4 linked regions of the Tamandua tetradactyla genome follow. The protein of the gene in region 3 interacts with the protein of the main gene of each other region in a pairwise test. Links are inferred from orthologs where the notes say so. Each region holds a gene or a part of one and is shown on either strand. Other genes may lie near its edges.

Evidence for each region.
Region 1: the proteins of RBPMS (region 3) and keratin-associated protein 19-7-like interact in binary tests that used the Homo sapiens proteins (3 or more experiments, as listed by UniProt). The two-hybrid records come from large-scale screens. The link is inferred for Tamandua tetradactyla from reciprocal best matches to the Homo sapiens genes RBPMS and KRTAP19-7.
Region 2: the proteins of RBPMS (region 3) and ATXN1 interact in binary tests that used the Homo sapiens proteins (3 or more experiments, as listed by UniProt). The link is inferred for Tamandua tetradactyla from reciprocal best matches to the Homo sapiens genes RBPMS and ATXN1.
Region 4: the proteins of RBPMS (region 3) and RBM46 interact in a two-hybrid assay, tested with the Homo sapiens proteins (2 studies listed by BioGRID and IntAct). The two-hybrid records come from large-scale screens. The link is inferred for Tamandua tetradactyla from reciprocal best matches to the Homo sapiens genes RBPMS and RBM46.

The regions. Positions count from the first base shown.
Region 1 is NC_135336.1:90,102,810-90,111,079, reverse strand, and holds the start of keratin-associated protein 19-7-like, read left to right. Parts: upstream 1-4,764; 5' UTR 4,765-4,869; intron 4,870-8,270. UniProt on the Homo sapiens protein: In the hair cortex, hair keratin intermediate filaments are embedded in an interfilamentous matrix, consisting of hair keratin-associated proteins (KRTAP), which are essential for the formation of a rigid and resistant hair shaft through their extensive disulfide bond cross-linking with abundant cysteine residues of hair keratins.
Region 2 is NC_135351.1:19,862,240-19,870,389, forward strand, and holds the start of ATXN1 (ataxin-1), read right to left. Parts: upstream 3,205-8,150; 5' UTR 2,995-3,204; intron 2,136-2,994; exon of another isoform or gene 1,822-2,135; intron 1,664-1,821; exon of another isoform or gene 1-1,663. UniProt on the Homo sapiens protein: Chromatin-binding factor that repress Notch signaling in the absence of Notch intracellular domain by acting as a CBF1 corepressor. Binds to the HEY promoter and might assist, along with NCOR2, RBPJ-mediated repression. Binds RNA in vitro.
Region 3 is NC_135352.1:13,318,779-13,326,302, forward strand, and holds the start of RBPMS (RNA-binding protein with multiple splicing), read right to left. Parts: upstream 3,678-7,524; 5' UTR 3,632-3,677; coding exon 3,566-3,631; intron 1-3,565.
Region 4 is NC_135348.1:12,148,440-12,156,551, reverse strand, and holds the start of RBM46 (putative RNA-binding protein 46), read left to right. Parts: upstream 1-4,607; 5' UTR 4,608-4,788; coding exon 4,789-4,837; intron 4,838-8,112. UniProt on the Homo sapiens protein: Essential for male and female fertility, playing a crucial role in regulating germ cell development by ensuring the proper progression of meiosis prophase I.

The sequences.
Region 1 (8,270 bases), on a different chromosome or scaffold from region 3:
AGATGGCTTCACATGTGAATTCCACCAGCACTCATGAAAGAATTAGTTCCAATCCTGCTCAAACTATTTAAAATAATTGAAGAGGAGGGAAAGCTACCTAACTCATTCGATGAAGCCAGCATAACTCTAATGCCAAAACAAGACAGAGATACTACAACAAATGAAAATTACAGACCAATCTCTAATGAATATAGATGCAAAAATTCTCAAAAACATACTTGAAAATCAAATCAGCAGCACATTAATAGAATTATACACCATGACCAAGTAGCTTTTATTCAAAGTACATAAAGGTGATCCAATGCAAGAAAATCAGTTAATGTAATAAACCACATCAAAAGAAGAAAAAAGAGAATAATCTCAATTGATGCAGAAAAGGTATTTGACAAAATTCAGCATCTGTTCTTGATGAAAACATTTCAAAGGATAGGATTAAAAGGAAAGTTCTTCAGCATGATATAGGGAATGTATGAGAAACCCACAACTGACATCATAGTCAATGGGGAAAGAATGAAAGCTTTCCCTCTTAGATTAGATAAAGAGAAAGATGCCCACTGTCACCATTGTTATTCTCCATTGTGCTAGAAGCAAGAAAAAGAAATGAAATGCATCCAATTGGAAAGGAATAAATGAAACTTTCACTGTTTGCAGATGACATGATCCTATATGTAGAAAATTCCTGAAAATCTACGGCAAAGCTACTAGAGTTAATAAATAATTGCAGCAACGTGGCAGATTAGAAGATCAATAAACAAAAATCAGCAGTGTTTCTATAAAGTAGTAGTGAGTAATCTGAGGAGGAAATCAAGAAAAAATCCATTTACAATAACAAACAAAAAAATAAAATATTTAGAGATAAATTTAATCAAACCACATAAAATACCTATACACAGAAAACAACAAAATATTGCTAAAATAAATCATTGAAGACTTAAATAAATTGAAGAAATATTGTGTTCATGGATTGGAAAACTAAATATAGTTAAGATATCAATTCATCCAAATTGATTTATAGATTCAATGCAATACCAGGTTAAACTTCAACAACTTTTCAGAAATAGAAAAACCAATAATCTTATTTATTCGGCAGGGCAGAGTCTCACAAATAGCTAAAAATATTTTGAGGGAGAAAATGAAGTGAGAGGGCAGACCATGGTGGCTCAGAAGGCAGAGTTCGTGCCTGCCATGCCAGAGACCCAGGTTCATTTCCCAGTGCCTGCCCGTGTACAAAAAAAATGAAGTGGGGGAGGTCTTGCACTACCTGACTTTGAATCATACTACAAAGCTACAATGCCAACAGAGCATGATACCTGCATAAAGATAGAGTGACTAATGGAATTTAATGGAGTGCTCAAATAGATGCTCTCATTGATGGACATTTGATTTTAATAAGGTGGTCAAAGTCAATGCAACAGGGACAGAACAGCCTCTTCAACAAGTGATGCATGGAGAACTGGATATCCATATCCAAAAGAAAGAAAAGAGCCCTAGCTCACACCTTATAAAAAAATTGACTGAAAATGGTTCAAAGACCTAAACATTAGAGCTAAGACTATAAAACTTTTAGAAGAAAGCATAGTGAAATATCTTAAAGATCTTGTGGTAGGAGATGGTTTCTTAGACCTTACGTGAGCCAAGAAAGGAGAAATAGATAAATGGGATCTTTCAAAATTGAATAATTTTGCATGCCAAAGGACTTTGTCAGGAAAGTAAAAAGCACCAATGATATGAGAGACAATATTGGAAAACCACACATCAGATACGGGTTTAATATCCATATATATGAAAGAGATCCTACAACTCAACAACAAAAAGACAAATAACCCAATTTAAAAAATGGACAAAAACATGGATAGACAATTATCAAAAGTGAAAATACAAATGGTTCAAAAACATATAGAGAAAAGATGCTTAAGTTCACTAGCAGTTAGGAAAATGTAAATCAAAACCACAATGAAATATTATCTCATACCTACTAGAATGTCCATTTTTAAAAACAAAAACAAAGACAGACAACTATAAATGCTAATGAGACTGTGAAGAAATAGGTACAATTATTCACTATGGTAATGTAGGATATTGCAACTGTTCTGGAAAACCATTTGGTGGCTCCTCAGGAAGCTAAGTATAGAACTGCCATATGATCTAGCAATCCCATTACTAGGTGTATACTTGGAAGAACTGAAAGTAGGGACACAGATGGACATTTGCAAGCTGGTGTTTACAGAGGCATTATTCATGATTGTCAAGAGATGGAAATAGTCCAAAGATGTATCAATAGATGAGTGTATAATTTGTGGTATACAAATATGATGGGATATCATACATGTGGAAGAGGGAATAAAGTCATGACACAAATGCGTCAGTGTGGATGGAGTTTGAAGACAAAATGTTTAAAAAAGAAAACTTGAAATAAAAGGACAAATACTGTATGGTTTCATTAATATGAACTAACTATTATAATGGAACCCTGAGAGTTAAATTTGAGAACACTGGCTATCAGCAGATAGAAAAATCGTGGAAATTGGGCATTTGATACTGAAGGAATACACAATGTTCAACAGGATTGGTTGTAAAGATTCAGAATCAGATAGAACAATATTGTATGATGGTAGCACAAAATTGTAAGTTTAATGAACAAAACTGAGTGTATATTTGAAAGTGGAAGGCTAGGTTCATGTGTGACACCAGAAGTAAAGTTAGAGGATAAAAACTGGATTTAAATAATTTAGTGAAAACTACACTGGACAATAATGGTTATCAATAGTACAAATATACAAAAGTTTTTTACATAAGAAACAACGAATGAATGTCATCATTGCAAAGTGCTGAAAATAGGATGGTATATGGAAAAAATACACAGTAACATTGCAAAATTCTCTCACTAATTTATCAAAGGCAAAATAGCAAAGCTAAATATCAATAAGGGGGATATAAATGAGGAGTATGGGATTCTTGTTTTGTTTCCTTTTTCCCCTCTTCCTCGTTCTTTTGCAGAATAGATAATTACCAGGAGCCATTTATTGTACATTTAGGATGAATTATATGGTGTGGGAATAAAACTGTTTGAAAAATAAACAGAAGGAAACAAATGCTGGAGAAGATTGGTGTGAGAGATGTAACTATTATTTGTTGGTAGGGAGGTAGAATGATGCAGCCCTCCTGGAAGGCAGTGTTGTGGTTCCACAAGAGGCTGAGTATAGGGTTTACATATGCTCCTGCAACCTTGTTATTAGGCATATGCATGAAAGTACTGAAAGCAGAGACACAAGTAGACACTTGTACATTGATGTTTATTGTGGCATTATTCATGGTTTGCAATGGATGGAGGTGGCATATGGGCACAATGACTAATTAATAAATGGGCAAATGGTGATGAATACATATAATGGAATATTGAGTAGCTGCAGGAATGAATGAAATGAGGCATTACAACTAGATGAATGAAACTTGAGGACATGATTTTGAGTGAAACAAGCCAGAAACAAAATGATAAACATTGTGTGGTCTCAGTAATATAAACAAAATATAATGAACAAGCTCTGAGAATTAAATTCTAGAGCATAGTTTAATAGGGGATAGAAAGTGGGTAGATATTGGAAAATCAGTGATTAAGAAGTATAAATTGTTCAATAATGCTCATTGTGAAGGTTTTCAAATGATAAATTCTCACAGCAGTCAAATTTTTACTGAAATTTAACAGTTGTTGCTAAATATTGAGATGCTGGCTCTTTGTGTATAATTTGGTAGTTCTTCCTGGAACTTTGGCTATCTGTGTGACACCTGAGACTCAGAGTTAGATTTCTGCAGCTCTTAAATTCAGCATTATTCCATAGAGTGACTGTTCAAGAAGCTGAAAAAGAGATCAGACTTCAATTACAGTTATGAATGAAACAGATTTCGTTAGGGATAAACTAAATTGGACTACAAGGTAAGAGATGATATTACCTGTATTTCAAAACCTCAAATTCTATATGAGACCAAAGTAAGAGATGTTTACTTGTTACAAAATTTAACTTTTCCATAGCACACTATTTAATTTAACCTGTTTGATCAGTTTGTTTAAACAACATAATTACATTGGACATAGAATAGGGAATGAGATCACATTTTTCTGTACAGGTTAATGTAATACCCTAATGTATTCCAGAGTACCTTGGGAAGAAGATAAAAATTATTTGCCGAAAATAAAAATAAAAATAGATAATCATTTGCAAAGACTGGGGAAAATTGTGGAATTAAACTTCCCCACCTTGGGGAATTCCTTATATTTTTCAAGCATTAGTGAATCCCAATTTTAATAAGCCTTGATCTTCAGGCTTGCCTTTATAAAATTTATTTATGCAATGTTGAAGCTAAGCCTCCTTATAATTATTCCTAAGAGCCAAACCCAGAAAACCTCTTTTAAACCAACTGTGGAAATAAACTCACTACACTCCCTAATGCATGGGACATGATACCCAGAGTTGTAAATCTCCTGACAGCGATGACCCTGGCCTTGGCAGCATGAGATTGAAAATTCCTTCTTGTCCAAAGGTGTGTGTGTGGGGGAAATAATGAAACAAAATAAAGTTTCAGTGGCTAAAAGATTTCAAGTAAAGCTGACAGTTTATTCTGGAGGTTACTATCCTTATACAAGTTTCATCCACATATTGCAAAATTGCCACAATAAACCAAGCTCCAACAATGGTATTTCTGAAAACCCTAAAGAATTCCATGGACTTTATCTAAGACTCCATAAAAGTTTCTCTTTTTTTTTTTTTCAGGAACTTTTAGACTTCCAGATTGTTCCTATGCCAGATAAGTCCTGAAACCAAAGGTGACAGTCTCTTGAGAACATCAACCAGTTTTTTCTTCTACTCTATAAAGGTAACTCCCCTTTCCAGCATAAAAAAGTTAAAATGGTTATTGCCCGGATACCACTGAAGATTGAGAAAATGAGCAAATGAGAGAGAGGAGGTGTTACTGAGAAATTAAGATTTAACAAATGCCTGAGACTACTGACTCATTATATAGGTAGTTATTTTTAAAGTCCAGTACTCTAGAATAGCCAGAAGAAAATACCTGAAGTTCTTGAATTGTTATCCAGTAGCCTTGATCTTTGATAATGATTGTATAATTATATAACTTTTATCATGTGACCATGTGTGCTGATTTGAAACTATTATGTACCCCAGAAAAGCCATGTTCTTTTAATCTTAATCTAATCCTGTGGCAGCAGACCTATCCTTTGGCTGGAACATTTTTATTAGATTATTTCTATGGAGATGAGACCCCACCCATGCAAGCTAGGTCTTAATTAGTTTACTGTAATCCTTAAAGAGCCAATACAGAGAAAAGACACAGATATTTGGAGATGCAGACAGAAATATTCCAGATGCTAAGCAAGGACTCACATCAATAGCTAGAATCTGGGAAGAACCAAGGGAAGCTAAGAGGTGAAATTCAAAGTTTGCTCCAAAGAAACCAAGTGAGGGCCCACAGATGCCCAATGGAATGAGAAATCGAAAGCAATGAACCAAGAGCAAGGACTTCGGAAGTCAGCTATGTGCCTTTCCAATTGACAGTGGTGTTCCTGATGCTGGCTGCCTTTCCTCCAAGAAGTGTCCTCTTGTTGGTGACTTATTTTGGACATTTTCATGGCCTTAGAATTGTAACTTAACAAATCTTCTTAATGAAAGATAATCCATTTCTGTTTTATTGCATTTTGGCAGCTTTAGCTATTCAAAAACAGATTTTTGTACCAGGGAAATGGGGTGCTGTAATAAGTAAATACCAGAAATACCAGAATGCCTTTAGAAATGGATATGAGTAAGATTCAGGATGAATTTAAGAAGCATAAAAGAAAAGCCCTAGATTGCTTTGAAGAGACTGTTGTTCTCTTCACACTAAAAGTGGTTCTGATGAATTGTTAGATAGAAATGATAAATGTGTTGTTGCAAACTGGAAGGAAGGTGACCCTTGTTTTAAAGTGGCAGAGAATTTGGCAAAATTGAGTCCTGGTGTTGGATGGAAGGCAGAAATTGAAAGTGATGAGCTGGTATACTTAGCAGAATGGATCTTCAAACTAAATGTGGAAAAGGCAGCCTTGTTTCTCCTTACAGCTTTCAGTAAAATTCAACAGGAAAGCTGAGAACTGAACTCTTAGTACAAAGAAACCAGAAACTGATAGCTTGAAAAATTCTGAGCCTTTGGAAACGAGACTCCAGAGAATATTACCTCATGTTAGGATTTAACCAAACATAGAATTGTCAGCCATTACAGGACAAGCTGGAATTGGAGATGAAGTTATCCAGAAAGGATTTGTGCATAACTGTATTGACAAATGATTGTGATTTCTGTGTGCTGCAAAGAAAACCAACAATTTTTTGTGAGATTTGTATAAATAGAACCACTGCTGGTCTGTACTAAAAGGGACAGAAAAGGTACAGATTGAAAGAAAAATTACTTCAATGGTAGAACAATGAAAGCTAAGATATGAAGCCAGAAAATCCCAAGTCAGGGGACCAGATATACATATGCATGTGGAGGGTTTGCCCCTAAGGTAGGGGTAGGCCTGCCCCTTTGATGCTTAGGTAGAGTTTTCCCTCCTTGGGATGGAGCACATTTCTGAAGGATTGGAGAGACACTGTCAGATAGCCCACTGTTCTGAAGGGGTTGAGCATATGTCCCAGAGACAGCAAAGAGTCAGGGTGCTACCCAGATGCTTAAAGAGAGTGGGGCCAAAAAACAGGAGTTCTCCCCAGTGCTTGGTGATGATGGAATGTTCACTCCAGTGTTTGGAGAAAACAGGGACATTCTGCAAGCCCTTGGAAAGGGTGGGGCTGCTGCTCTTTCTAGCCCTAAAGATTAATAATCTCAAGACTTTGAAATCTAATAGTGCTTGCCTTGCAGGTTTTAGAAACTGTTTAGGACATTTGACTCTCATTTTCCTTCTGATATCACTCTTTATAAATGGGGGCATTTATCCTATGATTGTCATTCCTTTGTATATCACAGCAGGTAATTGTTCTGAGTTCCACAACTCCACAGCCAGAGGGGAATTTTGCCTTAGGACAGATCATGCCTGTAACTGACTTTGATAAGATTTTGTACTGTTTTTGAGTTGAAATTGTATTTATATTGTTATTGAAATTGTTTAAAGGTTTTGTGATATTGTGGTGGAATAATGTATTTTATATAGGGAAAGAATATGTGTTTTGGGAGTTCAGAGGGTGGAATGTGCTGATTTCAAATTGCTATGCACCCCAGTAGAGCCATATTCTTTTAACCCTAATCCAATCTTGTGGGGACAACCTGCCACTTAGGTGTGTTGTTTTGATTAGATTATTTTTATGGAGATGTGGGCCTCACCTTCAAGTTGGGTCTTTATTTGCTTACTGGAGTACCTAAAAGAACTGACACAGAAAGCAGACACAAACAATTGGGGATGCAGACAGAAATACCCTAGGTGCTAAGCAAGGACTCACAGAAATACCCAGAATCTGGAAAGAGCCAAGGGATGTTAAGAGATAAAATCCAGAGTTTGCCCCCAAAGAAGCTAATTGAGGGCCCAGAGATGCTTTTAGAGAAAGCCACTGGAATCAGAAGTTGAAAGCAATGAACGGAGAGCAAGGACCTCAGAAGCCAGACATGTGCCTTCCCACTTGACGACAGTGTCTCACATGCTGGCGTCTTTGCTTCTGAGAAGGTATCCTCTTCTTAGTGTCTTAATTTGGACATTTTTCACATCTTAGAATTGTAACTTGTAACTTGATAAATCCCCAATCTGTATATGGCATATTGCCTTCTGGCAACTTTAGCAAACCAAAACACCATGTTATTGTAAAAATATGACTGACACTTCCTTTATCCAGTGTATGGATAGAGTAATACAATAAAGACTTTTAAGATATATCATTATATCTGAAATAACTTTATTGTAAGCAGTATATAGACACATATAGTGTTTAACTTTATGGGTAGGGTATAACACCCAGTAATCAAATAGTAAACTAGGTGCTACTGTGAAAGCATTTTTGTAGATGTGGTTAACATCAACTATCAGTTAACTTCGTATAAAGGGTATCACCCTCCACAAATGTGTCTGGGTCTCATCAATCATTTAAAGACCTTAAGAGCAAAAACAGATTTCCTAGGAAAGAAGAAATTCTGCCTCAAGCAGTATTGATGCCTCAAGCATCAACTCCTTCCTGAGTTTTGTGGACTTTATTCTCCTGGATAACACTGACTGATATAGTAGGCATGATTTTAGTTAATCTGACAATGTC
Region 2 (8,150 bases), on a different chromosome or scaffold from region 3:
AAGAATGGGCGCTCCTCACACTTGAAAGGCCAAAGGCCAAGGCCGAAGGCACTGGACTGCTAAAGAAATGTTGCTCTAGTAAGCTCAGAAAGGTTTCTAACAAGTACCAAATACTTGTTGATCTGTTAACAAACACCAGTAAGGCTGTCAGGCTCCTTTCACCATGCAGAGAGATATTCATTTACATACCGCACCGAGTAAGAACTGGTTCTTGGTCTCTTTCGTAAACTTGAGTAGCTAGAAACCTAATTCAGTATCTCTTGTCCAAATGACAGAGAATTGAAAGAGGGTGCAATTGAAATAGTGAAGTCTCTCGTCTGGCTCGGGCAGCACAAATACTGTGCAGAAAACACTTGGAGTAGTTCAGGCACTCCCACCTGAATGGACCAAGGAACACTGTCTGTTACCATGGCAGCCTGATCTAATTACATGACTGATCAGGGCTGGAGTAAGTGCACCGAAAACCTACACCACTGACATGTATCTACATGATGAGAAAGACAGGCAGCAGGAGGTTCAGGAGAGCCCTTCGACCTCTGCTTTATGTAGAAGAAGGTAGTAGGCAGGCCCATTTATTTACGGAGCTGCTAAAATATTGACTAACGCCTGCACGGTTAGAGGGCAATCAAAGGAGATTAAATGGCACAGCACAAGCGGTTATGGTGCAATCCCTTTCCAAGAGTTCCTGTGCAGGATTTTCTCCTTCTTCTCTCTGGTGGTTTCCTGGGGCAGAGCTTCCTTCCAAAGAAGCCCAAGTATCAAACTATCATTACCCACCAAATAAACCAGAGGGTGGGCTTAGCAGGGGCTTCTAGGAACTGCAGGACTCCTCAGAAACCCAAAAAGAAAAGGCTTAGCTAATATTTTTGAAAAAGTAACCAGCTGTGCCTAAAAATAGCCATCTAGTAACTACCCACTGCTGCGCGCGATACAGAATGATGATGTTTAAATATTAAGAGCAGCCTGCATTATAAAACACAAATGTCATTGAGATGTGACTACTAGATTGCTAAAGCAGAACTTATTTGCATACAACATTCCCGTGCCTTCACCATAGGATTTGCAGGGAGGATGCCACTGTAAGGCATTAGTTTTCTTTTCTTTCTTTTTTTTTTTTTTTCCTGCGGGTGTAATGGGGTCTTCTAATTTTGCTAATTGTATCCTGTGGATCTCAGAAGGAAGCTAAGAATCTCTTCGGGGAAAGAACCAGTTTGGAAGAGTCCCTACTGCACAGCATACGGTAAACAAAATAAAAATAGCTTGCCGTTCTTGTTAGCCACATCGCGCATTATATAACCCGCTTCCGACTGGCTTTTTTTTTTTCTTTGCCATTACTACTCTTCAGCAATTTCCCAATCTTCTCAAGTATTTATATTACCATCTTATGTGTAGGATTATATACCAAGAAAGCGAAACAAAACAGAGCAGCCACGGTTATGACCCGAACCCCATCGTCCGTAGAAACTGTGATTTTTTTTGTTTTGTTTTGTTTTCTGGCACAATCTCGATCACCACCCTACTTCCACCCCCCACTAAGGTTCTTGCTCAATCTCCCTAGAAAACCTGAATTGTTTCATCGCTTCCAGTCAACCTCCTACGTGGTCTGAAATAAAATGAAAGCACAAGCCACGGAGTTTAGGAAGGCGGCCTGGGGGCGGGGGGCTGAACGGGGGTCGGGGCGCTGCAGAGTCGGCCAAGTAGCCACCGAGGCGCCCCCTCCCCATCGGGCGACGGCCCTCCCCCCTCCCCCCAACGCGCGCGCGCGCACACACACACACACGCACTCACACACACTCACGCCCCGCTCCGACACCGCCTCACCTCTAGCTCTGCGCGTCCGGCCCTTTCCCTGCCCCCGGCGGGACCGGCCTGCACGCAGCGCTGGAAGCTCGTAGGAGGAGGCGGCTGCAGCCGCGGGAGTAGCAGAGTCCCCGGCCCGGGCCGGCCCAGAGTGAAAGAGCGGCGGGGCTCCAGGGCGCATCCCAATCCCCGCAGCGCCTCCTCCGCCGCCTCCTCCTCCTCCTCCTTCCCCTCCTCCTGGCTTCATTCACCCTCCCAGCAGCCGCGCAGCCGTTCACTCCCAGCGCAGGGCAGCGCCCGCCGCGGCTCCCCTGCTCCAGCCGCGGGCGCTCGCGGACTCCGGGCTCCGGGCGGCGGCGGCTGCACATGATCAGGAAGCGGCAGCACCAACAGGGCGGCGGCAGCCGGGGCCGCCACCGCCACTCCAGCGGCGCTCCGGGCACCCGCACCCTCGCTGCCACCCCACCCCCACCCCACCCCCCGCGGCCACCTCTCCACTCCCCCGGGCCACGCGCAAAGTCCGGGCCGGGCGGCCGGCGCAGCCCTCTCCCCCGGCCGCAGCCGCACCGCCTCCGAGGCCGGCCTGCGCGGGGAGACCCCCACCCCCGGGCGCCGAAGCCGGGCGGCCACCCTCGGGGAAGCCCGGCCTGTCCGCGACCCACTTGCTCTTGCAGCTCCCGCCGGGGCGGGTGAATGCGGAGGGGGCAGCGGGAGGAGAGGGCAGCGCGACCCCCGGCCGCCGCCGCCGCCGCTCCCTGCGCCCCTCCCCCGAGGGACGACATGGTTCTCCGCACTCGGAGCAGGGCTCCGCCGCCGTCCGCGCCCCCAGCCCGGCGCGCCCCCCTCGCCTCGCGAAAGCCCACCCTCACTCCCCCAGCCCCGGCCTGCCACCCTGCCTGCCGGGGGGGGGGATGTGAGCCCCCGCGAGGCTAGAGCCCAGGACGGTTGTATGTGCGCACACGCACACACACACACACACACACACACACACAACACATCACAACGCGTCTATTTCCTTCGCTCCTCTTCCAGCTGTTTTCCGTGCCGCCTTTTGGGGTTTGGGGTTTGTTTGCTGGTTGTTTCTTTTGCCCCCCTCGAGAGAGCGCGGGGGGTGGGGGGGCATCTAAATAAGGGGAGGGGGAGGGGGAGGGGGAAGAGAATGAGAGGAGGAAAAAAAAAAAAACAGCCACTTACTGTAAAGTGTAAATGGATCTGGGGTTGCGTGGGGAAGGGGGGGCAGAGGGAGAGAAACAATGTCTTGCGGCTGCTGTTGCTCTGGCTGCTGCTCCACAGGGCTTGTTTTGGATCCCCCTGCAGTGAAACAGGTCCTGTACGGCGCCGCCACTGTAGTAGAAATGATGTCTGCGGTATACTCTGCTCTCTCCTCCTCCTCGCGCTCCCCTCCCCGCCTCCTCCCTCCTCTGGCCCGCCCGCCCGCCCTCCCTCGCTAGCTCGCTCGCTCCAGTATGTAAATGTGTAATAGAAGCCAAATATGGAGCAGTTGGCTGCCGCCGCCGCAGCTCAAGGATCTCACTTCTTGTGGGGGGAGGAGGCTGGGGGGGGAGCTTTGGCCGGCGGCCCGGCGAGCCTCACCGATCACGGCGAGCGGCCGGCCCCGCGCCCTTAACCCTTCGGGGTCGGGCGGTCCTCAGGGAAGGCGGCTCCTTTCCGCCGCCACTTCCCATCCCGACAGAGTGGCTCCGTGGGGGAGACAAGGACCCGGGCCCGGTTCCTTCTAGGTTTGCGAAAGGGGCGGGGAGCGGAGGCGATGAGGTCATTTTAGCGGTGATCTGTGGGTCCCCGCGCGCCAACCCCGGTCCCTGCACCTTGCCGGGGAGGAGGTACGAACAGCGGGGTGCAACTCTGGCACGCTGGGAGACCCTCCTGGGGGGGGGGGGGGCGGGCGCCAGCTGAAGCCTGGCTCAGAGCCAGTGCGTAACCCGGGGAGGGGGAAAGGGGGAGAAGGGGGAGGGAAGGTCAGCTCCACTCTAACCCCGACGTGCCCTTGGTCCCCGGCGCTCCTTAGAAGCGACTGCGAGGGCTGATTCGGATCACCAGCTGCAGGTTAACCCCGAAACCGATTTAGAGCCGGCCGTTCCGGAACCCAGACCCTGGGGCCGCGGGGTTTGCTCGTCTTCGCAACTCAGGAAAGTTTTAAGGGTCTTCTCGACTCCACGTGCGCCTTCACCTTCACTGCGGGCGAAAGCTGGTGACCTCTGCGCCTTCCCTCCTTTCTCTTTCTGCAGGTCCGGAAATCTGCTTTAGATATTGAACTGCTCAGCTCCAGCCGGGAGTGACGACCCGCAAACTCCTCTCCGGCTAATTCGGGATCATTAATTTAATCGGAAATGAGGTAAGCAGTGTAGGAGATAGAAAAAGCCAACCGAGCATCAAATGACAGTTCTCGAGAATCCACGCCGAAGAACTTCCTCCGGACTCTATTTTTCAGTCGGATCCTCTAACTCTCCGCCGCCCTGCCTCCTCTGCGTGTACCGCCTGCGGTGTGAGCTCGGTGGGAAGCAACCTTCACTGGTGGGGTGCACCTCGCCCACAGGTGTGGCACCTGGGGAAAAGGCATCTCCGTGCCAAGGAAGCTCGGCCAGCGTTCTCCTTGCTGCAGATCATTCTGGAAGGCCAGTAGGTGTCAGAGTAGCATCTGACCTCCTTGAGATACTCTGAACCAAGCGTACAGAAGCACGACCTCTCCACGTAAGTTTGACCGTACTCCGTATTTGAAACGCCTCTGGCCGAATTTCCGTATGACTTAAGGCTTAGTCACCAACTGAAAGCAGGATACAGAATCACCGAGAGAAAAGCATTTAAGCAACACTATCGTAGAACCCGTGTGCTTCCCAAAGTAAAAAATAAATATACTAACTAGGAAGGTAGTGAGCCCCGAAATTTTTTTTTTTCACATTTTGAAACTCCGAGCACATATATGGGGCTATTTAAATAGAGATACTACTGTTCACTCTTACTCAATTCTACAACTTTTTTTTTTTCCATTTAAAAAAATCAATGATTGTTACAATTTAAACCTCTGGTTGGTCTAAAGTGACATTGTTGGTCTCATTACAGCCTCTAGTGGACAGTTAAAATCATTTTCCTGGAAAGGCTCTGCTTGGTTTTGTTTCTGTTGACAAGCTTTATCAAAGTGAAGGTTAATATCGGAGAACATAACCACATAATATCTCTTCCCTCACTTGGCAGAGCCGACTTCCGAATCAAGCCGGGGCTTGTTGGCTTTACCAGGACAAGATGTAGGCTTTGAGCTACAGGTATTACTGTTACTAGCCTGTGAAGAAGCACAGAGCTTCTGCCATTTCTTTCCGTTTCAGACAGCTTTCATAAAAACTAAATTTATCTAAAATATTTTTATAGCAGAAAATATTGGTTGCCATGTTTTTGGCTTAACTGAGATGTTTTTATTCCAACTCATCATCTGCAGACTGCCCAACCCACCTCCACTCTACTTTTAGACATCTTACATTTAGAGACTTTTCAATAAAAAAAGAGCAAATATTTTAATTATTACAGTGACAGAAGCAGTTAATTTATGCTGTTTTAACAGCCTTAAGCAAATTAAAACACATAATTCAGATTAGCGCTAGTCCATTAATTTAAATATTCCCTCAAGCAAGCTAAATATGTATACTCACCAAACAGTAAAAACAATAGGAAATGTGCCATTTACTTTTTTAGCCATTAAGATTAAAGCCATAAACTGTGACTAAAATCTGTAACTATTTCTCTCTGCAAGGTCCAACATAAACATAAATGCTCATGATACACTTTTGTTACCATTAGCCCTGAAATACTTTGTTCTCAGATGGCAAAATATTAAACACACAGCCACAAATAACAGGCACTGGTTCTTTAAAAACAAGATTTTCTCATGCAAAATAAAAACTCAGTGAAAGAAGAAGAGCAGGGCTTTCAAGCAGCCAGTAGGCAAATATATAGTCCTAGAGTCCTATTCATAAACCTCGTATTATATTCAGACAAGTGTAAGTCAACCTTTGAAATTAAAGGAAATTTAGAAATAAAGCCTGCTGAGACTCACTACCTAGCTTGTGCTCTGGATTGCTTAAATACCATGGATAAATAATTATAATCGCATCTATTTTATTGTTTTGGTAGTGTCTAATTCGGAAGGTTTAAAAAGGGCTATCAAGTGAATACTATATCATATAATTATATATTATATCCCTGCTTCTTTAAAGAGTAGTCCTTGGAGCAGCAGCAGCTGGGAGCTTTACAGACATTCAGAATCAAGGGTTCCACCCCAGCCCTTCTTGCACGCAAATCTGCATTTTAGCCAGACCCCCGGGGCGATTCCCAAGTACTTGTGAGGAACATTGGTTTATACTACAGGGCTCTAGCTAAATGAACTTGGCCACAGGTGCAGAACTTAATTCTTTTATCTGTTCCTTTCCACTCCCTCCTCTCCTTTTTGTGATTTTTGGTATTAAAAAAATTATTACATTATATGCTTTGAACGGATAGTACTCCATTTCAGAAGAGTCCTAATTTATGCACAAATCTGTATCATCATTGTCAAAAGAGAACACTATGCTAAGAAATGTACTGGGGTCTCAGACGTGAATGTTTTCCTTATGGCAGCAGAGGGAGCACGAGAGTGCTTAATAAAACAGTGTACAGGCCCCCAAAGCCTAGCAGATTCTACGTTGTAGTATACCTTTTTATTGGAAGTAGACTGTTATGTAGTATAAGACAAGATAAAACAAACAAACCAAAACAGCTTGCCAGGTTATAACAGCCAAATAATTGAACAGATCAGAACAGCCTTTGACAGCTTAATAGAATGTTGATATATTTATTTAGAGTTGTATAAAGTTTAAAAGAAAGTGGACCTCAGAAGTCATAAAATGTCTTAGTTTTTCTCTTGTCAAAAGTCAAGATCACATGATAACAAAACAAGGCAATTCTAAGCGTAAATCCTGTTACTCTAAAAACATTGGCGTTAAGTTAACCCAGTGCAATTAACCATGCATCAGAGAAATTCATTTCATTTGGAATCACACAAATTATATGAAGTATGTACATTTTTTTGCAATGCTTACAGTGACAGTAATTGTAGGGGTTCGTCCTTAAGCCTGGGAGTAGCAAGAATATACGTTCCAATTGTGTCTATGCAGCATTTTGATATTTTCCATAGCTCTTTGGTATCGTATCCTCAAAAGCTCCCAAAATGTAGGTAAGATCGATGGTGAAGCCCAGCCTCAAAAAAGTTGTAGAACCAACTCATGCTTTCATTATATGTCATTTAATTGTTAGAATAAACCTTCGAGGTATTCACAGATGAATGAAATCACAGAGATTAAGGATCCAGCCACATGGTCATTGTTTTTGTGTTTTTTTTGTTTGTTTGTTTTTGACAGTTTCAACAGTTTTTCAAAGTACTATGTAGTGATTACTGAAAAGACACTGTCTTAATTCTCAAATTACTTTTTATTTACTTATTTCCCCAGCAGTCATTTATTACGGACCTACAATGACTAGGCACTGACAAGACAAAGACAAATAAGACACAGTGTGCAGAGAGTTCACAGCAGAACAAATCTTATCTTTTGAAAAAGGTTAATATTTACCATGATAAAACAAAAAGATTCGGAGGATTCCTCAGTGATTGGCCCAGCCCCTCTCAGAATCATCATACCAATCAGGCTTTCAAGTCTGAGATTCAAATACCAGAATCATTGAAAACCTGGGAGAGGGCAGTTGCTCAGGAACAAAATTTCTCCGAATTTCTGCCAGAGCTATTTGTGATGGCTGGGAAATAAATCCTGGAAAGTTTGCATTTTTAATGGAAACACTGACCCTTAAACAGGTTGTTAGAAGGAGGGTATTATCCTACATATGTCACTTTTAAATCTGAGCAAACCATTATGTGCTTGCAAAACCACTATACTTTCCTGAGATTGCACACACAAATAAAGCTGGGGAGACTAAAAGAGTACAATAAACTAAAAACAAAAATGAAACCATTCACACAGTGGACTCTGAGGTCATATAGCCACGCCCTAACTAAGTAGCCAGGCTAGGAGCTTGGCAAGGAGACTTTTATGATACACAGTGCTGAATCTTCATCCTTGCCCCTTTGCCTGCACTACAGGAGGACAAGCCTCTGGGTGACAGTGACATTATCATCGTCATGTACTCAAGAATATAGTTAAAATTGTATTTAAATATCTGCCCACAATTTATGGCTTAACAGTACACACATTAGGTTCTTTTAAAATAATACTCTGTCTACAATTAAAAACAAAAGCACCTGCTTTCATTAGGTCTGCTTTGTCCAATATGGTCAGCCTTGAAATGGGACTCAT
Region 3 (7,524 bases):
AGGAATGTAAAGTAAAGATTTGTGTTAACCTCTTAAGAACTGACTTTACGTGATTTCTGTCCAACATCTGCCAAACATCTTTCCGATTGATATTCCAGCAGTGCCAAGATTTTGCTATTTCAGTTTTGTTTTAAGCACAAGTCAGTTTGGTAAAAGTGATTTAAGGAGAAACTACTCTAACAGTGCTTCAACATAATAAAATGCCTTTTAGAAATGATTTGTAGTCAGCCTGAAATGTACATATTTATAAGATTTCGAAAAAGGAAATTTGTTTGAAAAATTCACTGACCAATAAGTAAATTATTTCTTTCTACTAGATAAAGTCTCACTATATTTGAATGTATTAAGACTTATGATAACTGGTTACATAAGACAAATAACTATGACCCATATTTACATTTTTTAAAATTGTAATAGTCTGATTGAGTGCAAACTGCCAAAGGTGTTTTAAGAGAATGTTGTCTGTTCCAAAATTAAAGGCAAATTCTAGAATTTTATTAATTGCAAAATGATGTAAAAAATGATGCCATATACATACATATATATACATAGGCCTTATAAATCTCAGCATCCATTAAAACCTCAACAACTGGTTTTTCTTTATAGGAACAACTTTATAGGAATACATATGTATAATACACTAAAACCAGAAAGCCAAGCAGAAAATTATCTCCCTTACACAGCTGGCTAGCCAAATCTTAGAATCATTTTTCCTCATAGTTTTAAGTGTTATCCAAAGTGGAAGTACCTGAACTGTCCAAGTTCTCAAAAACTTCCAACCCTAAAAAACTATAGAAATTATCATAAATCTTATTCTGTTCATTCTATACAACTGGAACCAGGTAGGTGTTTCAGCATCATTGGTTCAGAATAAGCATTAGAGGCTCTCATATAGGGCTAAAATATACAGGATGATAAATGGAACTCACTTAAAAAATATTTTAAAAACATATAATAGAGTAGAAATCCTAAACCACCCTAATGATAAATAAACTATGTTAATGATGATCGGACTCACTTTTCTATAACAGTTCAGAAAACACATTTTTCCTCATGTTATTGTATATACGCATTGTACATGTGTGCGCTGTTTAAAGCCAAAGCTTTAAACATGTTTGGGGAGGAATTGCTGATTTGCTGGGCAGGCAGAAAAGGGTCCAGTGCCGTGGTTTTATACAATGTTGAGCACATGAGTGGGACTCACCAAAAATCATATTTATTTTACTTTGCGGTTTTCAGGGTTAGAAAAAAAAGAGGTTAGGAGTTGTCCAAAAACAAAACATAAACCCAAACCAGGGAACTGATGCCAAATTACCTGGATCTTTTGGACCAATCTCTTTTCTTTTCCTGAATTGCTAACACTATACAGACCCTCTCTTCACAGTGTTATCTGTTAGGTGACACCCACCTCTCGGTCAAGTTGGATTCTGAAATTTTCTTGACGGTCCTCCTGTTTTTTTTTTTTTTTTTTTTTTTTTTTCTTAAAAAAGAGTATTTTTCTTAAAAACTAAAACAAAACACTGGCATTTTCTAGAGCCACATGTCATTCCCACCTGGAAGGGACAGAGTCAGGTCCACTGCACAGTGACGTCCACCGCGAGGGCCTGGGAATATACTCATTCAACAGCCTGGCGAACTCTAGCCAGAGAGTCCCAAGTGCAAGGCAGGCAACACCTCCCTTTTTGGCGTGCTTCAGTCGAGTGGGTCAAGCAGAAAGAAAAATGTGACTTTTCTCGGACTTGTGGTTCCAGGACACTCCAACCTCTTGAGCCACATACCAAAAGCAAAAAAAAAACAAAAAAAAAACCAAACTTCAGTTTGCCTGATTGACTTCTTCCAATTTATGAGTTTTCTCGATGGGGTGAACGGATCAAGATGATTTCAAACAATATGTTCTTACTCTTATAAGTAGACAGACTGCCAATCTAACTGAAATAGAAAGGTTTCTGAAGCAATTGTCATTTTGAGAAGTTGAGTGTATTAGATCAATACAGCAATCCCTAAAAGAGTAAACTTGCCATCATTTTAAAATTATAAGTGGTAAGGAAAAATAAATAGCAAAGCAGCCAGCAAGGATGAAGAAAAAAGTGGAATCTGCAGTTCAAGTCTCCACCTCTTTGAGAAAGAAAAGAAATACCAGTAGTATTACTTTCTTTGTAATTATGAAACAACAATATGTAAACACTTTTCAAGATAATAGTTTGTAATACAACAGATAATACCCTTAGGTGAGAAGGCAACTTTTGTCTTCATTCAATTCACTTAGGTTACACTAAAACACAGCAAATAAGCGTAAAATCTTATATTTATTTTGCATTTTTTGCATGGTCCTTGTTTCTCTCCTCTATCTTCCAGGTTTAAATAGTTCCCATATTACAAATGGACAATGCGCTTAAATTTATTAATGAATTACTCTCTAATGTTCGGTTTCACTGTTAGAATTTTCATTTGCACACAACACGGTATCGAAGCAATCTGATTCCTAACCGCTTTAGAATAAGTTTACCATTCCATGTTTAATTTATTATATTAGAATGCAAAACCTATAGGAATGCTTTATGGGTTATATCTAGATATCTGCACACACTATAGAATGTTTAAGAACTCAATTATATAAGATCTTGAACTGCAGATACGGTACCTGCAGGAATGGAGTCATCTGATAGGATACCAGCAAATATCCTAACTGCAAAATTCTGAAAAGTTTTCTCATGGGCCGCCCCCTACGTTTACTGACTTCTGTGTTTACACCAAAGAAACGCTCCGCAGCCAAAACATTTTTATGGTTTTTTCGGACGCACCAATAAAGTTTATGTTCAAAAGTCAAAGTGCTGTAAATACAGCCTCGATGGTCATTTGGTGAACGGTAAAATTTTTAACCCTTTTATTCTGCTCCCTACCTCGGCATCGCCCCCAAACTTGCTAAAGCTTATCGCCCACTTTCGGGGTCTTTGACTCATCAGAGGAGAATGCCGCGGATCAGAGAAGAATGCGGCGGATGTTATCTATTAATCCAAAATGCTTCAGTTTTTTGGTAAAGAAAAAGTTCTTTACCCAGAACTTTTAACTTTGAAAGGGCTGGGGACAGAAGAGTTCCCAGAGTTTCTCCCTTAAATCACACACACACACACACACACACACACACACAGCGCCTCAGCCTCAGTTCTAACCTTCCGGGTCCCAATAATCTGAGGTCACCCAAGAGTCACCTCTCGATTCCTCTTTTAAGATCGCGGGCAAACAAAGCTGAGCATTATACTTAGAAAAGTCTCCAAAAATGCTCGGAGTTACGCAATTTTAGGCATGCAGACGCGCGCAGACACACAAAAGATACACCCTCCCGGGGCCAAATTTGGGGTTATCTCTAGGGGCAAGGTCAAGCCCCAAACTCCCGTCTTCACACACATACACGCACACGCGCGCGCACACACACACACACACGCCTGCGCCCCAGGACCAGAGCCCGCGCCCCGCCGGCTTCTCCCTCCCGGCCGCCCGCACTTTGGAAAGAGCCGGCGGCTTCCATCCCCGGTCGCACCCACCACCGCACCGAACCATTCGGTACCTCTTCCTCCTGAAGGTTGGCCTCGCTCGGGGTGTTCTCCTTCTCGGCTTTGCCGCCGTTGTTCATCTTCCCGGTCCTGGCTCGCGGGGCAGGGCTGGGGCGCGGGGCTGGGCGAGGGCGCGCTCGCCCGCTCTTCCCTTCCCCGGGCGCCGGGGCTCCCTCGGGCGGGGCGCCGCGGGCTGCAGGGGCTGGAGCCGGGACAGCGGCGGCGGGCGCCTCAGGAAGTGCGCGGGAGAGACTGGGCAGGGCGAGGGCGCAGGCAGCCGGAGAAGGGAACGGAGACAATCGCGACCCGGGAGAAAGACCTGGAGAGGGAGGGCGGGCGCGAGGGAAGGAAGGAAGGAAGAAAGGATGGGGCGAGGACGCGCGTCCCGGGAGTGAGCCCAGAGAGTTGGGGATGTGGCCGAGTTGGGCTGCCACTGCCCGAGCCTAGCAGCCGCTGGAGCGAAAAGTCGGAGGTGGGGGGGGGGGGGGGGGAACGAAGGGTCCCCAGAGAGGAAGAGGTGGAGGAGGAGGAGGAGGAGGTGGAGGAGGAGGAGGAGGAGGTGCCGGGCAGCGGGGCTCGGGCCGCGACGGGGACGCTGGGGCCGCGAGAGCCGCTGAGTGCGCGCTCCAGGCAGGCTCTGGGAAGTATGAGATCCAGGCAGCTCCCTTTCTCTGGCCTTCCTCCCTCCTCTCTTCCCCCCACCCCACCCCACCCCACCCCGCCTCCCTTCCTCCTCCCTCCGCCCTCCCTGGACGTGGGCTGCAGCCTTCGGCCCTGAGGGACGGGACCCGGGCCGGCGAAGCCCCCTTGCGGGAGGAGGGGCTGCGCCGAGAGCGGCTGCCCAGCGGCCGGATGGCGCGCTCCGGGGAGGGGACGCGGGGCGGAAGCCCCCGACTTCGCGGTAGGTCCGAGGATGAAGGCAAGGGCGGGAGAGGGGAGAAGGTCCGGGTCCCCCCAACCTAAGTCGGCTCCGAGGGCCCCGGGTGTCCGAGCCGGGCCTGAGTTGGAGAAGTCGCGTGTGGGGGCACGTGAGCGTGCAGAGGGGCTTCGGGGAGCCAGGCCCCTGCCGGTGCGGGGACCCGGAGCTGTAATGGGTTACTTTTGTTGGCTTCCTTTTCAGGAGGGCTTTGCACCCCTCTCCCTAAGTTTACCCCTCCTCTTTTTTGTACTAGTTCAGACATAGCTTCTTCCCCCTCTGAACCGGCAGATTGAAATGACGGGGTGAAGTAACTCAAGAGACCCGGGGAGAGCCTGCCCAGAGCCTGCTTTTTCCCACCCTAACTTGAAACCTACCTCCTGCGCGGGTTCTCGGAAGTCTCGCCTGCCTCCCCGCACCGACTGTGGCTTTGCGCCGGATTTCCCAGGGCCCTCGCGGAGACCCCTTTCTCTTAGCCCTTATCAGACTGTTCTGGAATTATTTGTTTACCTGGCTTTCTCCCTTGCTCTTTTGGGAGATCCTTCCTGGAAGACAAAGACCATGCCCTGTTTATCTTTTTAATCCCGTGACTATTTAAATACACGACTTAGTACATAGTAAGCACTCAATAAATATTTGTTGGCTAAGTGAATATTCCTCACCGCTAGCAGAACTGGAGACACTACAGATGATCTTTAAAAGGCTCAAAGTAAGTATAAAGAAAGGGGCCTCAGTGTTCTGGGAAGTAAGCACGAACTGTTTCCTCGTCTGTAAAAGGGGAATGCTGAGGTTTATCTCCCAGGGTTTTGCAGATAAAAGGAGATAATGGATGGATAGATACAGAGATAGCATGTAGCACCCCTTCTTGCCTAGTTTAAGTCCAACCGTAGGTGGAAGCTAACATTAAGAAAATTGCACTTGTTACTACTGGGCCAAAGAGAGCTTCTCCAATAATGGATCCTTTAAGCTTTCAAACTCGACTGCTAGGAGCATAAAAATGGAAAACCCCATATTGGTAGGTTCTCCTCCACTTCCTGATCCCCAGGAATTCTCTCTCACAGCCTCCTGTTCCCTCCCAGCACCAATCACAATTTCTAATTATTTGCTTGTTTAACTTTATCTCTTTCTCCCCTCACCAGACATTCTTTACTCTGCGCTGGTTTAAGAGCTGCAGGGAGTGGGCTGGGTGTGGAGGTGGGGGTTGAAGATAAGGCCCCTGCCCCAGGGAGTTAGTGGTGTTGTGGAGACAAGCTACCCAAAACTATTTCCCATCAACACAATCTCAGAATTCTGGTTCAAATTGCAGAAAGCAAAGTGAAAAAATATTTGCATTATGACTATTATGAAGAGAAAAACAGTAAAGTGGTACTTGGACCTAAATTGGGATTTATTTGGAGGTCCGAAGCTTTTGATAAAGAAGCTTACTGTAGAAAAAAAAATACTTTTCTTTAATTGCTGTCATAATATCTTTCCTGTCTATGGGAACAAAAATATATCCTGGCTGAAAATAAACCAACTGTCTATTGAAGTGGTGACTTAAGAATCCAGAAGAGTCAAGGGCTACAGTTCCTCCCAAAACTTGGTAACTCTTGGTTCTCCTTGTATTGGCCAGTATATGGATAGTACACCTTGGCAAAGCCCTTTCCACTGCTAATACTCCCTCAGTTGTATGAGGTCACCACCTGGGGGCAGTGTCTTCCTGAGCAACGAATGAGTGGTGGTCTTGGACCCCTATGCTTGCTAGGAATGCCAGCAGTTTGCCCTCCTTGGCTATCCCAGCCTGCTGCTGAAGACACACCACAGAAAGGCATTGTCTTGTTGGCATCTGGCAAAGGCCCAAGAAAAGTGGCCATTGATCTGGTCACTGATGGTTCCAGTCAGACCCCACTTATGAGAAGGTGGAGTATGTTGTGTGAGTCCAGGATGCTGGGGGGACCTTCCCTGCCCCTGCCCCTGCCCAGGGAAATGTGGCTTGATTCCAAAAGTAAAAACTTGATTCTTTGTCTTGAAGCCAAGTTGAGACTTTGTCCATTGTTAGAAGTCAAAAACCCCAGGGATAAAAAAGGAAAATAAATTCCACGAGAGGACCCTTGTCTGGCTTGTTCATCATTATGTACCAAAGATCTAGACAGTGCCTAACACTCACATGACACTCAGTAATTATTTTTGAACAAATGAGCACATTAAATCTTATCAGTTATTGACTCCCTGGCTCAAATGACATCAAGTCTTTCTAAGACCCTGTGGGAAGGGCTGAATTAGTGGTGGCATCTTGAACAGCCCAAAGGGGCATCATGGCAGTGGTCTTCAGTCATCCTTTTTCAAGGGACAGACCCTAAATTAAGAACTTGTGCAGAATGGGACAACTGATGAGATTTCAAGAAATAAAAAATGTAATTACACTGCTGTATCGACAGTAAAGGAGGAAGACCTAGGAAATACTTAATGGTAAGAGCGAAATTCAAGGTGTTCCCAGAAAAGTGCGTAAGGTTCGGGTTATATGCTGTGAAAAAGAGAGATTTCTGTTTTCTGACCATTTTGTAAAGAACTGTTTAGACCTGTTTGAAAGAACAATTGAGCAATGTTGTATTATCAAACAAGACCCACTGAGAATCTGTAAACAGACTTTTGCTATTTATAAAACTTTGGGAATGAAGGGAGTTTGACTCTGGAGAAAATAATATGCATTCAATCAGGATATAAATGGTCTTTATGACCTGTTTACTACTTAAAAGAAAAAAAGTGAGAGCTTCTCAGTAGCAATAGTTTCTTGGTATACAAAGAATTCTAAGACAGCAAATGGGATATAAGTCCTAGAAACAACATGGGGTAATGAACAGGAAACCTCTGCTTCCTCCCCTGCCCACCACCTTACCACGTTGCCATTTGGCCCACGAGGTTAAATGCTTGATTGAAAAGGAAATACTGTGTACACCTGTAGTTTTTATTACTCATCCCAGTTGCTCTGGCAGTGTTCATTTTTGAGGTTTGCTTTAAGAAGTTCCAACCTATAATTATGTCTTAAATGTTTGTCTCTGGGAATTGCGGACATTAAAA
Region 4 (8,112 bases), on a different chromosome or scaffold from region 3:
GATTAGTCTACTGGACTCCTATAAAAGAAGAAGTACTTTGGAAAAAGCTACAGAATGCCACAGAACCATGAAGCAGAGAGTTCATCAGCCAGCAACTTTTGGAAACGAAGACGGAAAATGCCTCCAAGGAAGCTTCATGAAACAAGCTGGAAGAGAAAGCTAGCAGATTTTACCATGTGCCCTTCCAGCCAAGAGAGAAACCCTGAACATTTCTTGAACCTAAAAGTATCTTTCCCTGGATGCCTTAGATTGGACATTTCTATAGACTTGTTTTAATTGGGGCATTTTCTTGGCCTTAGAACTGCAGACTAGCAACTTTTATTAAATTCCCCTTTTTAAAAAGCCATTCTGTTTCTGGTATATCGCATTCCAGCAGCTAGCAAACAAGAACAGTAGAACACTTCCAAACTTCTCAGGTGAGATAAGGCTAGAAGGTTTTATCACATTCTTTTCCCAACCAAAGCATTTTTGGTTTTGAATCAGTCTTTTCTATCAGAAAGTTATTTCCATATACTAATTTTCTCAGGTTGAAGTTTAAGTCTATATCTCTGGGGGAGGGGGGACAGATTTTTTTACCTGGTATTATCTAATACTATTTATAATATAGTAATTGATTGAAAAACAAAAAGGGATGGCTGTATCCTGATGTGAATAACTAATACCAATCAGCAAAGGCTGACTTTACTACTTCCATTTGTTTGCACTTAAACTAATTGAGGTATTGGTCATGAGTTTTCCTGCTTTGTAGGCTGTTTGCTAAGTACAAAGAAAAATCTCTATTTCTGATTTGCCACCTGGAAAGGAGAAGCTGTTAATCACAGGAGGCACACTGATAGCATGTATAGATGGCTCATAATTGGAAAAAGCAATGCTAAGCACTTATTCTACCTTATAATCATCTTGGTGCTGACACTTACATTCCCAAGTAATGAAAAATTCAAATTAAAGCAATGCATCAGGAAGAAAGCATCAAACTAGGGTGCAAAAGTAAGGGTCAGAGAACTGGAATAAACATTTATTATAAACATTTTTTGAAAAAACCCACATTTCTGAAAAGTTCTTGATGTCATTGAGATTGGAGAGTGATAAGATTAAATTGTTATCATTGGCTCCTCAGCTGTAATCTATAGATCATTAAATCTATAAGCATGTAAGTAGTTGCCATGTTTTTGATGGATCTGTGCCATCATTGCCAAGTATGGATAGAGGAAGCTCCAACACATGGAATACAAACCAGACCTCTGCACTCTGTTCTTTCACATGAAACCATTCACCTTTCATTAGGACTAGGTTGGATTTTAAACAATTATAATAACTTTCCATCATTTTTCTTCTACATTGGGGACTGTACTTTATAGAAGGCTTGTAAAAATATTTCTAAATAATTAAAAAAGCTTACATTTCATGTGGGGAGGGGGACACATATACAAGATATCCAGACTGCTTTCATTAAATATGTTTTGTATATCCCGTCCAATTTTTTATTGGTAATCTTTTCTCTCCATATTCCACAGTGATGATATTTCTTTCCGGTGTTTTCAGAGCTCCATTTTTATTTCTTCCCTTGCCAACAGGCACCTTCCAACTCTTAACTTCTATTTCAATTAAAATACCTCCACATTTCTTATTTGTTCTCTTCCTATTCATTTGGATCACCTTTTTTCCTATAAACTTGTATATAAACTTGTAACAAACCCTAGTTTGGGATCTGTTCCTGAAGATGAATTCTGGCTGGTAAGTGTTTTAGCATTTTCTAGCAGCCCAGAAATATAAAGTTAAAGGCCATTTCTTTAATTTTACATACAGAGAATATAGTTTTCTTATCAGTTTCAGAAAAACACATCTGCTAATGAACTTTGGATAATAAAAGTTTAGAAGCATCTGACCAAAAGGATATATAATTAAAGTTTGGGAAGGGCCTTTAAATAACGCTATCATATCTAAAACAAGGTTCTATGCCTACACGAGGATCCCTTGTTTAGTTGGTTTTCTTCACACTTGGAAAAAAAGAAACGAAAAATTCCAGAAATGTGAAACAACCCTTCAGGCCACCTCCAAGAGCTGTCTTTTGCATTCCACAAGATAACATCTCCACCTAGCGACTCTTGGGTCCTACAGCAACTACTAGAAACAATTTGCATGTCTTAACAATTTCGGTTAATTTAACCTTAAAAAGGAAATACACTTCCATTTAAACTTACTGGGATATGAGACAGGACCAACATGAAAAGGAAGAATGTGGAAAATATTTTTTCTGGAGAAATAAAAGGGCAATCACAAATAATAACATGATATAATTACCATCTTTGCAGATGAGATAGAGAATTGATACCATTTTTTTTTAAGTAAAGTAGATATATTCAATATCTATATTTTTTGGTTGCTTTATTCTCAATGCATTAAGCTACATAAAAGGAGATTTGGCAGAGATTTAGGAAGGAATATTTGCTGAGCTTCCACTATGCACCTGGTATTATGCCAAATGTTTTGTTTCTGGGCACATTTTGAAATAGTATAACATAGTGGTTATTCCTGCAGGTTTGAGAGCCAAATTGGGTTTGAAACCTGTCTCCACGATTTACCTGAGTACAACCTCAGGAAAACACTAAAAATGGGACTAGTATCTTTGCCAGTTCCAGGGAGAAGTCAACTTATATATGAAAATTCCTTCGAATTGTGCCTGGCATGTATTAAATGTTCAATATTTGCTAATATATCATTTAATTTTCACCATTGCCATTTCAAACTGGGACACTCAGAATTTAAGTGATTTGCCGAGGTATCACAACCACCAATTGATAATACAGGGATTTAAGCCCAGGTCGATCTGGCTCCAAAGTCCTACCTAATTCCCCACTGTGGAGGACAGTGACAAATACAGATGTCAAAACATAACGCAATTCTTAACAAAGAAAATGGATGTTAATGCATTCATTAGATCCTTGAACATATGGAGACAAATTTAAACTGAAATCAGGAGTTAGTATGGAAGAAAAACACCTTGAAGTGGGAGTAGCGGGATAGGTGTTGTGCTATAGCCCAGTCGGTTATTCGGGGCTTCAGGTTCCTCATATGTTAAAGGAGGGTCTACCTAAGCCCTCTCCAATTATGTTATCTGAGTCTACACATGTTATCCTTAGATAATGACCCTAAAGCATACTCAAATAACGGAACTGGTTCCTTAAGTAATTTTTTTTCTGCCATTTAATCCTGAGCTCTACCATTAAAGGAAGCACAATTTAGGGTGTCTACAGAATGCCAAATGGTCCTATTTGCAAAAGCTGGTTTTACATAGGCCTAGAATCTGGTTCAGCAGCTCCATCACAGCCAAATCTCTCCCCATGCGGATTACTAGTAAAGTCTATTACCAGGTCTCCTAATTCAGCCCACATGTCTATGTATTTAACGCGTTTTAACTTTTACATTCCCACTATATTTGCCTTTTAACCTTATACTTCCTCAAGCACTTACTTTAAAAGAAGCCAAACTTAGGATATATTAGTAGTTTGACTTGAAAACTATGGTTAACAAGAAATAGAACCCACACAAATACAAGCAAAAAGTGCTAAACCACATATATTTTTCCGGAAGTACGAAAAAGTACGGAAGTTCAAATCATAATCTTCTGTTTTAAATGCCTTAACAAAATACTCAAATTTCCAACTAGAACCTACATTTAGCATTACACATCACCCACCAAACTCCCCAATTCTGTCTCTTGGTCCCAATTGGCTAACGTGACTACCCAACCCAGGAAATACTGCTCCCCTCTCAGTAGCCCGCTTAGCCTTTAAACCTTGGCCCCGCCCACCGCCCGTGGTCCGGGCTGGCCACTGATTGGTAGATGCTTCTCCACTCCACATGGGGCCGTCCACGCGTAATGCCTGATGGGAGCCCAGGCGAAGGCACGAGGACAGCACGAGCTCCTCCCGGTGGGCTCCCCTCCCCCCCTACGGTGGCTCCCCACTCCTACTGACTGGTCCCCGAAACGGTGAAGGCGGTTTGTGGTCGTTGGTCACGTCCCAGGGATTTATGACGAACATCTGAAGACCCGAAGGGGTGAGGAGGGGATGAGGGCATCGGAGCAATGGCCAAACCGATGGTAACGGCTGGAGACCCTGCCTCCCGGTGGAGTGGACACCCACACCCGGCTGGGGGCGGTGTCTGTGGGACTGACCCCTCCTTATTCTCAAAGCCCGTGGAGGGGCGGGGTTGGGGGGTGGGCGGGTGTCATAAATGCGTGTTCCCGGCCCCCGGCGGCCCGCATTTGATAGACGGCTGGCTCCCTTTCGCTGACGGCTCGTGCCGCGTGGTCTCAGGCGTCCGGCCTCCAGCTCAGCTCCCGGCCTCGGCCGAGCCCCTCGTTTGGCTCCTTCCGCTCCGTGGCGCCCAACCTCCCTCCGCCTTGTTTCCGCCCATCCCAGACGCCTTCCGGCCGCTTCTCACCTGCTGCCCTCCATATTTGTTCCCTAAAACTCTCCCTGCGTGGCCCACCACAGACCAGGGCCATCTGCTGTCCCTCCCAGCCGGCCGTTGCTGCGCCTGCGCGTCCCCTCTAGACGCTTTGGGACGACGCCCCGGGGGCGCCCCGACTGCCGGGTGAGGTTTAGCGGGCACGTCGTTTATGTCGAGGTCTAAGCGGCGATGAGCCTGGAACTTTCCTTTGTCTTTCACTTTTTTCCTGTCTCTCCTTTACGCCTCTCTGGTCTTTTGGGTTTTGAGCTGTGCAAAGCTGCTGGAATACGGGAACGATGACTGACTCCTCCTCCCCTACAGGCGGCGGGAGCCATGGACGGTAATGCACACATCGTAACATTTTTTGTGTCCCTAACATCAGGTAATTTCAGTTACTGATTACTTAAAATATTTTCTTTGGGATACTTGAGAGGCCGTCGAACCTGGAGTCAGGGGACCTGGGATTTAATTCTGGCGTTGTTCACGCTCTGATCCTTGCGAACATCTGTTGTTGAAGTTGGCTTTAAGCTCTAACACGCTTTACATTTTTGACAAATACTCTAGCTTTTTTATTATGTGATGATTCGACTGTAGGCCAATATATATAAGAAAATCAAAGTGGGACTGGCCGTAACTCTTCAAGACTTGGTTTCTCTTAAAAATTTGTCCCGCTTTTTGTGTATGGACGGCGTTATAACCGGGAAGCTCATGGTGCGTGGCGTGTATAATAGAGTAGCGTATATTCATTACGGTTATGCTTATTTTCAAAATCGGAAGGTATTTTCTTTTCAGGAATCACCAGTATACAGTTGAGGACTTAAAAAACTTCCATTGGTCTTTCAGAATTAAAGCTCCTTGTGAGCTGTGATCATTGACTTGTATGCACAGTGCAAAATTTTAAAATTCTGTTTTAATTTTTTTTTTGGTGAAATATTTTCTGCTATGGCATTATTTTAAGTGCTGATTTCCCCTTGAGAGTGGAGTGTTGGAATTGATTATTAATTATCAAAGGTTATGATACGTACAAACATGTATGTTACTGAATGTCTTAGGTAGAATTATTAATAACAACACACCCAGCTTATGAACTCAAAGTAAGCTTTGTAAATTTTTCGTGGTGTCGTTTGTGTTGTTAGGAAACGTAGTCCTGTTAGTTTAAGGGGAGTTTGTAATCAGAAATCAAATACGTGGTGTAAAAATTGTCCAGATTTGCACATTAATGCTGGGTGGTGTTTCCCATTTTATTTTACTAGTATTGGTTGATGAGGCAAGTAAATGAGGAAAGAAAGTATAATCTGTATGTTCAAACTGATAACAGATTCAAATATCAGCTTGTAAATAGTGTGTTTAATTTGGACAAGAACTTTTGTTCTACATGGATGTATTTTTCCTGAGTTCAGAGCTCATATTAATATTTCAAAGCAATATTTAAAAATTGTTAGTTAAAACTTATTTATTTATATTTGTTGCATGGGTAGGCACCTTGAATCGAATCCAAGTCTCTAGCATGGCAAGTGAGAACTCTGCCTGCTGAGCCACTGTGGCCCGCCCTACAAATTATTTTTAAATCGTTCAATTTTTCAGTAATTTTAAATTTAAGCCAGCCCTATGCAGTATTACTGGAGGTTGTGACACACTTAGTCCTAAAAGTTTTCATACATTTTATATTTGACTTCTAGAACTAAAAATGGGCTTTAATTTTTAAATAAAAATAATTAAAAGTGGATTTGAACTGATTCACTTATATAGTTTTATTGTGAAATAACTTCAGACTTACATATTCATACAGTTTTGATTAATCCTAGTCATTTTCAAATTACCTTTGCTATAATGAAGTTCCACTAAAATGAATAGCCACTAAAAAGTTTCCGTTGATCTGGGGTCCATGGTCTTGGTATACCATACTCAATAAAGCCTAAACTAACAAGTCAGGAATTTAATACCTTGTCATGTAGGGAATGCTAAAATATCTAAGTGCCTTGTATAAAAGTATTTTGATACTTTAAAATAATGTTTTCTCACTATCACATTCAGTTTTTCAAAACCATAGAGAAACTTATGTAATGTTCATTTTCACAACTTTATAAATTCTTGCAGTAATTCAGAATACCAGAGTTTCAGTTTCACAAAGCTGAAACGAATACCTTTAGAGATATAATTTTTAGTTATATTTTGCTAAAATAGTATTTGACATATTTTCATTAATGTAGTCTGTTTTTGAAAGGCTGTACAAATCTGTGAATTTAAATGTTTTCTAAGCAATATGATGTTTAAAATTAAAGAAGATATAGTTAGCCCTTAAAGCAAAAGGCTTAGTTCAAACTGCTGTCCTGTGATTGGCTGTGTTTATCTCCATTTTCTACTTCATAACTTTTTTTTTTTATTCTGCGTTTGAAGCTGAGCTAGAGAATAATCTTTGAAAGTCCGAGGTTTAGGAAAAGATATTTGTCTTTGAAAGCTAGAGTTTACACCTTTTAACCTACCCTGTCCACTTTTTTTTTTTTCTCCCCATACACCATTTATGTCATCATTTTGGTAAGGACCCCTCCATCCATTATTCAGATTCCTTTGGGTCGAGGGTAAGGAAAAAAAATGTAGAAAATTTTGGAATTTGAATCCACAGCTGTAGTAAATGACTGTGTGGAAAACTTTAGTTATGCCAGCTTTGACATAATGTATAGCACTGCTTGTGCTTCCTTGAACATTTTGATAACTCTCAGATTGACTCTGGAATATTTTAGAATGAATCTAAAGGTACTGTATCTGTGAGTAGATTTGATTACAGTTTTCTGATTAAGATTCTCAAGTTCTGGCTTTTTTGGAAGTGTGATCTGCATAAAGTTATGCAGTGTTAAAGTTTGATATTTAAATATTTTAAAAGTTTAAAAACTTTCCTTAATTGTATATGAGATGTGTATATATTACTGTTGTTTTGGAGACTTTGGAAACACATTTCTTTGTAAAGAGAATGGGGTTTGTGACTCCCCAGTGTGTCTTACTTATACTTCTGTAGTTTTTATAATGTTTTGATTGGAACTTACTGAAATGAACAAAGTCTACTGTATGTTTCTAGTCATTTTCTAGGAAAAGGAGTTGTTAATTTGGGGGCTGACCTATTATTTCAACATAAGATCCTAAATAGACTTTAAAAAAATGTAACCGTAGAGACACTGATGAGCTAAAAATATATGTCTGCAAGGTCATTGCAGGGGTGGGGTGAATTGTAGAAAGACATTTAGAGTTAGCTATGAATTATGGTTAAAAATGCTTTTCATTAATCAATTCTACATTTTGGATAAAATAGAAGCTGAAACCGTATTTATCTATTGCTTTTGCAGGCAGTAAGTAGCATATGTAAGGGAGCATTGACATTGGAGTCTTTTTGCTCTCACCCTTTCTCCTGTAGTATGTTAATTTGCGCTATTTCCTGTTCTCCACATTATGTCAACATGATGCTCATTGTAATGGGCTATAAGATATCCTATGGGATGTGGAGGCCATCAAAACCCCTACAGACTGAATTACAGAAGAGTCAGAGTTTAGGAATCCTGGAGGCCATGTGAGAATCTTGGGTGTGAGCCCCAGCTCTTTCAGTTACTTGTTTTGTGACCTTGAGCAAATCTCTTTACCTTATTTGCTCTTACTTTTCTCATGCAT